Linked DNA regions of Mus musculus: regions 2 and 3 are each reported to be linked to region 1. Evidence: microRNA targets listed by miRTarBase, many of them from high-throughput screens and not tested one by one. Region 1 holds a microRNA gene; each other region holds the end of a gene's coding sequence.
The links. Region 1 holds the annotated microRNA mmu-miR-376b-3p (AUCAUAGAGGAACAUCCACUU, at 1,169-1,189, shown strand). A microRNA usually pairs through its seed, bases 2 to 8, with sites in the 3' UTR of a target mRNA and lowers its output. Matches are read on the target gene's strand: a 7mer-m8 pairs with bases 2 to 8, a 7mer-A1 pairs with bases 2 to 7 and ends in A, and an 8mer does both.

Region 2: miRTarBase lists Nfkbiz as a target of mmu-miR-376b-3p. Seed matches in the 3' UTR shown: 8mer at 577-584.
Region 3: the mRNA of Hoxd10 is a reported target of mmu-miR-376b-3p. The part of its 3' UTR that is shown has no 7-base or 8-base seed match.

The regions. Positions count from the first base shown.
Region 1 is chr12:109,722,340-109,725,593 of GRCm38, forward strand. Mir376b (microRNA 376b) reads left to right here and starts at 1,119; the gene lies at 1,119-1,200. Mir376c (microRNA 376c) reads left to right here and starts at 379; the gene lies at 379-464. It overlaps Mir654 (microRNA 654), which reads left to right and starts at 879; the gene lies at 879-962. Mir376a (microRNA 376a) reads left to right here and starts at 1,442; the gene lies at 1,442-1,509. It also overlaps Mir300.
Region 2 is chr16:55,809,947-55,813,200 of GRCm38, reverse strand. It overlaps Nfkbiz (nuclear factor of kappa light polypeptide gene enhancer in B cells inhibitor, zeta), which reads left to right. Exons shown (of 12, transcript NM_001159394.1): 12 at 418-1,824. The coding sequence ends at 471. Among named protein-coding and RNA genes, the nearest start is that of Nfkbiz, 11 kb to the left of the region's middle.
Region 3 is chr2:74,693,665-74,696,918 of GRCm38, forward strand. It overlaps Hoxd10 (homeobox D10), which reads left to right. Exons shown (of 2, transcript NM_013554.5): 2 at 427-1,442. The coding sequence ends at 704. Among named protein-coding and RNA genes, the nearest start is that of Hoxd9, 2.5 kb to the right of the region's middle.

The sequences.
Region 1 (3,254 bases):
GGCTGTGTGACAACCAGGGCTATGTTTAACTGTACGGTGGGCTCTAGATACACTTCTGTCGCTCACTTTCTGATATTCAAAAGGTGAGTGCTCCTCTATGCCTCTGGTTAATCATAGAGGTAACACCCACATTTTCAGTATCTCAAGTGGTTCTGGGATGTTTCTGAATACAAAGTGCCCCCTAGGACAAAGCAGGTTATTCCAGTCTTCCCCCACCCAGAGAACAAAGGGAGAGATGGGTTCCACAGCCTGTGCTTTCCACAGCCAGGTTGTTCCTGGAATCTGTGTCCTCTGGGGGCTGTGCCGAGGGCGCCTGTCTGCTGCCTTCTTCATTTCTGACGGATTAGGCCTCGGCTCTTTCTCTTCAGGACTAAATCTTTTGGTATTTAAAAGGTGGATATTCCTTCTATGTTTATGCTTTTTGTGATTAAACATAGAGGAAATTTCACGTTTTCAGTGTCAAATGCTGCTGGGTAATGGGCCTGAGCTGAAGCCACCACCAGGGCAGTGACAGGACAGGTGCACCCTCTTGGGTAAGTGGGGGGTCAGTGGTCCACAGAGCATGTCCTCAGGTGCCCAAGGGCCAATGAGCAATCTTGAGAGCTTCCCTCATGGGCTGCCAACTCAGCCAGAGGTCAGGGGTCTCGTTCTGGAATCCCCCACAGCTAACAAGTCTTTCCCATTGTGTCCCTTCTGTCGCAGATAGGACTGTCCTATTGGATGTCCCAAGAGTTTAAGTCTGATATCTAAAAGGTAGATTTCCCTTCTGTGGTTTTATGTTTGCTGGTCAATCTGATGGGTTTGCCTGAGTTTTGAGTCTCATGTGCTTCCTGGGTGACATGATCCACCAGGGAGATGAGGCTGGGCGCAGTGCCCTCCTCGGTAAGTGGGAAGATGGTAAGCTGCAGAACATGTGTGTTTCTCATGTCATATGTCTGCTGACCATCACCTTTGGGTCTCTGCCTGTGGAGCCAGCTTGGCACAGAGGCCGAGGCGCCTTTCAACATTCTGTTTCCTCTGCCTGAGAAGCGGGGATTTTTTTTTTTTTTTTTGTCTTGTAATCTGTTTCAGATGAGCCAAGCAGCAAGCCTGGTCCTTCCCGGAACTCAGTCCTTCTTTGGTATTTAAAAGGTGGATATTCCTTCTATGGTTACGTGCTTCCTGGATAATCATAGAGGAACATCCACTTTTTCAGTATCAAATGTCGCTCTGGAACTATTTCTGGAAGATTCTGTAGGGTCTGGGGCTGGGGGGGAAGATCATGTAATAATGAGTGGGGCGTGGCCAGAAATGGCCTTAAGAAGCCAACTGAGTGTTAGTCTGATCTGGGTCTGATATACCGCCTCTTTGGGCAGCCTGCTCACTCTGCCCAGTGGACTTCCATTTCTGTCGACACAAGCACAAGCTCACAGCATCCTGGATCGAGTTGTTCTTTGATATTTAAAAGGTAGATTCTCCTTCTATGAGTACAATATTAATGACTAATCGTAGAGGAAAATCCACGTTTTCAGTATCAAATGCTGCTTGGGAAACCACCGAGGACATGACATCTTCACCGAAGAAAGCGTGCTATCCGTCGTCTTCCTGGGCTTGGCGGGGATAGATAGATTTGTGACTTGTGTGATGTGTGCCTATATGCCAGCCTCTCCCAGTGATGTGTTCTGAGACCACTGTGTTCTTTATATCCCTTCTCTGACCTCAAATGAAGTTGTTTCTCTGTGTGCTCACCATGTGTATGTTTTCTGGAGTCGGCTTCTTTTTTCTGTAGCGATATGTCTTGGAGAGCTCCTGGGTGGGCCATCATTTTGGGTAAGGGCGCCTTGGGTAACCCTTTGGGGGGTGTGCGGAGAAGGGGGGGCATGTGAATCATCTGGAAGTGTAACCTCCAAATGTGCCCCCTCAGGCTCACATCCGGACCGTCATCGCATCTGTCATCGCACCGGACCAGCTCTCCCCAGCGCTCCTTATCGTTTGCTACTTGAAGAGAGGTTATCCTTTGTGTGTTTGCTTTACGCGAAATGAATATGCAAGGGCAAGCTCTCTTCGAGGAGCAAATGCTGCCTGGAAGCATGGCTGGCGGCGGCCTGGGCCTAGCAGAAGGGTGTGGTCTCTCCAGGGTAAGTAAATGCATGGTGGGCCACCGAGCTTGAGCTCCTTCTTCGTCTGACCCTACAGATCTCACACATGCTTCTGAGAACTTTCTAGAAAAAAATGCTGATCCTAAGGGCTGTTCTTGGTAGAGCCTAGGAAACTGTGCCTCCCCTTCTGACAGCCCTTCGCAGTGTGGTGTGCATGCCAGGTCGTCTTCTAAGGCCAAAAGAGTGTCAGCAGCAAGCCAGTGCCCATTTAGATGTGGGTTTTCTGCCCACCATTGCCAACCTGTCCTTACAATCACCTTTAAGGCTTCCCATCCACTTAAGGGAAAGGGGGTTGGTGGATATCCAAAGTAAAGATGCTCCCAGAGGCTACCAAGACCATTAAGCCTCCTTCTCCAGGTGTCCTCTTCACCTTGTGTGTCACAGCATGAATTTATGTTAAGGTTGTCTAAAGAACCTTGGTTCTGGGGGTCGGGTGGAGGTGGGGCATCTCACCTCCCTCCGGTGAGCCTTGCATGGGTCTGATGTTTATAGTGATAAGTCTCCCATAGTCCTCTGAACTCCCCAAGAAGGGCAGAAGGAAGGTCCAGAGGTCTCCATACTGCTCCAGTTTGGGGAAGAGGGTGGGGGCTTTCAGAGAGCTAGTTTTCCGGTTTTTCTTCTTTCTTGAATGATGCATGTTGCTGTGCGTACTAATCCTGCTCTTTCGATGACCATCTGGAGGACTTCCTGGAGGCTGCAGCTGTGGGCACAGGTGGAGGCTTTCTTGCCAGGGTGGCTTTGCAGGCTCTGGAATGCCAATCATTCTCTGTCACTTTTTTGTTAAGTTACACAGAATCCCCACCCCCACCCCACCCCATGCCCATCCTCCCATGCCCCACCCTAGTCTTTTGGAAGATCACCCTGTTTTGGAGTGATACTGAGAAGTAAACTAACTTTAGGGCTGGGTACCAGTGTGCAGAGTATGCAGCCAATTCCAGAGCCAGCCAGCTGAGGCTTGCTTCACCAGCCCCTGTGCTCAGCCCAGGCTCACAGGTGCTTCACTGTTCCCTGGCCCAACTCTTGGTTCATGTAAAGAGGATAGCCTCCGGTATGTTCTCTTTATTGATGGTAATAGACTGCAAGAGGCACTTGTCCTCACATCTAACTCTATCTGGG
Region 2 (3,254 bases), not on the chromosome of region 1:
CCTTCTGTATTGTGTGTGCTGTCACAGAGAGGGGCTTCTCTTTTCCTTCCTCGGTAGGCGGTGGCCATTGGACAGGTTTCCTTTCAGAAAGCAGCTCGCAGCAACAGCCACCAAAATCTCTTCCTCTAATTGCTTCTAATCTCTCGTGGGCTGAAAGGCAGATACACAATTTGTCTGATTGGGATACAAAAAGTCAGTGGCTCTAGATGACTGTGGGGGCTTTCCTGAGACCCGGAGAGCTACACACAGTTGCTTGGACATTTGGATATCCTGGCCGCTGCTCTACCACGAGTTTGACTTGGCTGTGCTCCTAAGTTAGGGGTGCACTGTAGAGGGTTAATGAGAGGAGTGAAAATCTGGGAGACATATACCGCTTGGAGCATTGGAAGTAAGTTCCACGATTCCTTTCTCTTCCAGATCCGACGTATCCTGAAGGGGAAGTCCATTCAGCAGCGAGCACCACCATACTAGGTCCACTGGCGTGGAGCCTGGTTCAGCGACACTCACTGTCAGTTAGGCAGTCCTGATGTATCTGTACATAGACCATTTGCCCTGTATTGGCAAATGTAAGTTGTTTCTATGAAACAAACCCATTTAGTTCACTATTATATAGTGGATTATATTAAAAGAAAAGAAGACAGATATCTAATTTTCTTGGCAGATTTGCGTATTTCATACCCAGGTATCTGGGATCTATATATCTGAATTTGATCTTGAATGGTAAAATTACCTTCGATAACCAGTAGCTTTCAGGTAGGGAAAAAAAAAAAGACTCATGGGAAAAGACTTGATCTGTGGCATAAAGCCTTGCTCATGTAGAGATTGCCAGGTCCAGATTAGGTGGGCTTGAAACATGAGGTGAAAAATGAAAGCATTTGAAAGGGGACAGAAATTTGGATGTGAGGTTGATGTGCACTTTGCTGTCATCGATGCTTCTTTGGTCAGATGCAGGACCTGGTGTTTAATAATGCTCTCTCTCTAGGTGAGGGAGGCCTCTTGATAGGATGTGATCTTTGAAGCTGTATATAATTCTCATTTTTACCTTTTAAAATGTTGTACATATTTGATTTGAACCACGGACATTTGAAATGTGTAAGTCAATCAAGTAGAAAAGAGCTAGTGAATTGTTCACCACTTTCAAGGTTGTGCACCCACAAAGCAACTTGTACTGTGTAATCGTCCAGCTAGAGTTTTTACAGATAAAGCAAATGGGGAAGTGGGTCCCAACGTTGCTGTGGTAGCAGGCGGGTTTCTCTTGCATTGGAAACAGACACGTTTGTAGGCATTTGCGTATTCTTGAAGAGACTGTTTTATGAATCACCTCTTAGATTTATGTAATTTACCTAAGTTGTTGAAGTTTCTGTTTCTCCTTAAGAGAAATTACAAAAATTCAACATTGAAGCATAGTTTCTTGTTTTCTGTTGTCAAATAGTAATAATGTGCTGTGATGTTTATGCTTATTCATAAAGATGTTTTACTTTTTAGTGTAATGTTAGTTCTTTTAACATTATTTTGCTTAAATTTGATAATGCCCGACAAGAATATATTTTGCTTTGATTTATACACTGATTCTTTGTGACAAATATGACCCATTAAAAATGCCTTTTAATAGACTAACTTACCTTTTGTAGCTAGGTACTCATGTTCTTTTTTAAAAGATGCCCTTTGGATTGGATTGGATTGATCATGTTTAACTCAGCGTATTTTATGGATGAAAGCTAAATACAGATATTTGGCATCTCTAAGGTGGAATGAGCCCACTCCACACACTGATAAAATTCATGCATAGTTTTAAATGAACATTAATAAACTCATGTTGTCTTATGTGTTTTTCTTTTCTAGTGCCTTATTTGTGTGTAGTTTGAAGAATACTATTTTTTTTTCCATTACTAAAAATGGACTCTAGGGGCCTTGTGTGTGCCAGGCAAACTCTTTAGCTGCTGTGCTCTAGTCCTTTCTAGCCTAGAAAAGGTATTAACAACAAACTCAGAGTCTTAACAAACAAAACCTTTAAGTTACTTACTTTTGGCTTTTGTGTGTGTGTGTGTGTGTGTTTGTTTTTGAGAACATTTCCTGAAATTATATGCCCTTTTTAACATCCAAAAATGGCTTGCTATATTCATGAGAAGTTTACGTTCCGAAAACACAAAGTTTAGTAGTAGATGCTGTTAAACTCAGAAGTTTATATAATAAAAAAGACGGACAGGTCAGTGGACACAGCAAACAGTGTAGACATTATCCGAGTCATCCTGAGAGGGAGGGATGCCAGTCTCTGAACAGTGCCAAGTAGTGTTTTTCCCTTTTCCCATTATTATAATTGCTGCACCCGCATCCTGGTTCTTGAGAGTACCCGACGACAGCCATGAATTCTTGGAAAGTGTGCCTGAGTGTGTGCTGTATGTACAGGAATGACGATCCACATTGCCACCATCTTCTTGAGTTCAGCTATGGACAATTGTGCTAAAAGATTGTCACAGCTGAGCTATTGACTATTAACCTTCCCTCAGAAGGAGGCAGCAGGAATGTCAATGGACTCTCACCTGAATATCCAACCATTCCTCCTAATTAGTTGTATTTCTGCTCTAATTTCAAGGTCTTAGGAAGGGGCTAGTCTATTAGGCTGCGGAAGACTCTGGGGAAGAGGGTTCTACCTGTGAGACATGGACAATCCATACTGGGCATACATTTTTTTTGGTGTAACTAATTTGGGTTCATCAATGCTCCTTTCGGTAACCCCCTACTCGGTCTATATAAACCTGATTGGTATACTTGTTGGCTCTCCAGGGGAACTTATATGGTGGTTGTCCCTTCCCAGAGTGAAAGTTTTTAGTCAGCATATGTGCAATGATGCATACAGTATCAGGCTTAGCAGCCCTAGAAGAACAAGGCTCATAGGCCAAGGCTCTGTTTCACAGTTTTTCTTTTAGATAATGTCTTGCGCATAGATTGTAAATGTACCTGCTTAGATAGCCATCAGAGTAGGAACAGAACACACTACTGAACATGCCTACACACTGGGTTCTCTTTAATGAGCTTATGAGTGTCCCTTAATTAGTGTTCCCAGCAATCGGTTCTTTCACAATCTAGTGTTTAACAAAGTGTGTGTTGCACATGCATAGGGGATAATATAAGGCAAAGATGTAAGAGGTGTGGTATGCAGCTGGGCGTGATAGTGCACATCTTTAATCTCAGCACCCAGGAAGCAAAGGTAGTTGGGTCTCTGTGTTTGAGGCCAGCCTGGTCGACCCTGTCTT
Region 3 (3,254 bases), not on the chromosome of region 1:
GATACTGGTAGATGAAGCAAGCTATGGTTCTTTCTGGTGGCCTGACGGCTTAGAATGTTTTTGGGGGGACGGAGGAATCCTGTAAAGTTTGCTATTATAGTCACATTTTGTGCAAGCCAGAAAAGTTGTGTAGGAGAGAGAGAGAGAGAGAGAGAGAGAGAGAGAGAGAGAGAGAGAGAGAGAGAGAGAATATGAGGAGGCAGCCTCTGGCACAGAATATCCTTTCATTCATCGTGTTAAGTATTTAGTTCTAAATTGGTACCAATTTACAATCCCCTTCATGCCCACCTTCGTAAGTGATGTTTAATACCAGCATTGTCCAAAGCAGCCCATCTGGCAGCAGGGTCATGGCCAAGGGTATATTTGAATGGACTGAGAGAAAAAAAAATTCTTGATTTTTTTTTCTTCTCCCTTTAATTTTGTTAGAGGAAATCAAGTCTGATACTCCAACCAGCAATTGGCTCACTGCAAAGAGTGGCAGAAAGAAGAGGTGCCCTTACACCAAGCACCAAACGCTGGAATTGGAAAAAGAGTTCTTGTTCAATATGTACCTCACCCGCGAGCGCCGCCTAGAGATCAGTAAGAGCGTTAACCTCACCGACAGGCAGGTCAAGATTTGGTTTCAAAACCGCCGAATGAAACTCAAGAAGATGAGCCGAGAGAATCGAATCCGAGAACTGACCGCCAACCTCACCTTTTCTTAGGTCTGAGGCCCATGTGAGGCCAGGATCCGAGAGGGGGCACCGAGTTCCAGGCCTGAGTGCTGGAGGACTGGCAAGGCGGAAACAAACCCTTCATTGCTCTTTGGTTTTTTTGTTTTGTTTTGTTCTGTTCTGTTCTGTTTTCCTGCTAGAATGTGACTTTGGGGTCATTCTGTTCGTGCTGCAAGTGATCTGTAATCCCTATGAGTATACATATATATATATATTAAAAAAACTTAGCACGTGTAATTTATTTTTTTTCATCGTAATGCAGGGTAACTATTACTGCGCATTTTCATTTGGGTCTTAACTTATTGGAACTGTAGAACATCCATCTAAACGTATCCATCGCATCCCACCCATCTATCCCGCCAGCAATGTGACTTTTCCATGTTTTTCCTAACATAAAAGTTCTCTGTGTGTGGTTAGCCCATGAACTCATGGCATTTTGAAAACATCCAGTATTTAAAAAAACAAACAACCTATATCTATATATATTTCAAAAGATTAAGAAAACCCACAAGCTTTGGGGGGAGGGGGACTTTAAAAAGCACATTACAATGTATCTTTTCACAAATGAACTTAGCAATTGTCCTTGGTGAAATGGAATATTGATGACTTATGCCTTGTAGCCTTTCCTTGTGGTGCATCTGTGGTTTGGTAGAAGTACAAGCGCAACCTGTGCTTTTCTGTGCATGTTCTGGTCGCATGTGTAATGCAATAAACTCTGGAAATGGGTTTGTTCCTTCTGCTTTCTGAAATGGAAATATACGTTTTGGTGGAGAGGAAAGCCTTTGGGGAGGGTTTCTTCTGACCAAACTGCTCTTCAGGGGGCAGTGGACTAGGGGACTGGGAGGGGCAGGAGAAAGGAGATGGGAGGAGAAAAACTGGAGAAGACCTAGGCTGTTAGAATATGGCAATGATGGGTTTGAGAAGGGTTCGTGATTCAGCCTGAGAGCTCAGTCTTCATAACTGGGAAGACCGTTCTCGCCTCTCCCACCCCCTAATCTTATTAATATAATTGTATTCTCAATGGGATGAGCTTCCCTCTACCCCTGAGCCTGGTAAGTAAGAACCCACTGCAGGCTTTTGCCTCCAGTCCCCCATTTGTGTGTTTTCTTCTCTTTGGTTTTGGTTATGTTATTTTTAATGCTTTCAGTGAGCTCTTGGTGACTTCTGGCTGGGGAAGCCATCTTCAGGGGCTAGGTTGAAACTAGTAATGCCCACCTGGAACCTGGCTGGCCTCCATTGCAGGAACAAGCAACAGCTTAGCAGGGCACTGGATCCAATTGTGCCCCCCCAAGTCCCTTTCTCTTTCCCACCCGCCCCAAGCTCAAGACAACCAGACCCAGTGAAGCCAAGGTTGGGTGAGTTTTCTCATTTTATTCTACCTTGGTTCCTTTCTGAAAAGGATTAATATTCTGCCATTGCCTTTGAGTGGCCCACAGTAACTATTTAAAGGAAAAAAATGAAACTATTCCCCCAGTCAAATCTCTCACTATTTAATTACAAAATGTTCATTTGCAGCCACTGTGTCTGAGCTGTCAGGTGACTGAAAGCAGTTGCAAGTGACCATGACTGCTCAACAAGTCTGTCCAATGGGCCTTTTACATACATGGGTTGGAAAATTCAAACCAACGTCTGTAGAATCCCTGTCATTGAGCCCACATTCATCTTGTGCTACCAGGAAAAAGGGAAGAGGTGACTGAACTCGTTGCCCCAAGTCTGGCCTGTGGTTTTTAACCCATCTTCAAAGAATTTCACAAAACAGGATCCCCCCCCCCCCAACACAGGCCCTTTTCCTCCCAAAGAACGGTGCATTCAGCGTCTCTGAGCTGCCTCGCCCCATCCAGACAGTCTTTGGGATGCTCGGTACTGATTTTTTTAAACCTCCTCTCCCAGACCCCAAATCCTCTCAAATTCCAAGACAGATCCCTTTAGGGACGTATTTTTCTGAGGCTAGCAGAGAGAGAGAGAGAGAGAGAGAGAGAGAGAGAGAGAGAGAGAGAAGTGTCTGATTCCATTCTAGCTTGAGAGGACTGGAATAAATTTGCCCCTGACTTACCTTGGATGGGCAAAAGAAGTAGAGTGATTTTAACCTCTGCGTTTCTCCCAGCGATGTGGGGAGCGCCATTAGTTGCTGATGGGGGGAAACCTGTGCTACAGGAAAGGGCAGGCCCCCTGAAACAAAATCAGAAAGCCATTCGCCAAGGCAATCAATCAGGTCCTAAGTAGCCATTTACCCCCTTTCTTGGCGGGGCTAGAGGTGGGTTGGGAGCCCTCCAAGGGTGCTCTGGGCAACTTGTAGAGCGAGGAATATGTCCTCTCAGCCGCCGCTGGCGTGCGGCTTTTGTCTCGGCTCCCAGGCAGGCTTTGTACCATGGATTTGGGAGTGACAATGGGCATTTCTCTCAGATTCAAGGCTGCCCGGCCTTACCTCTCAAGGGGAAAACTGGAAAGGGGGTGGATCAAGGACCTGTTCTTTCGTCTGGATTTTGAAGACATCTTCAGAATCCGTTTGCAGGCACGTGTGAAAGGCACGCAGCGAACCTA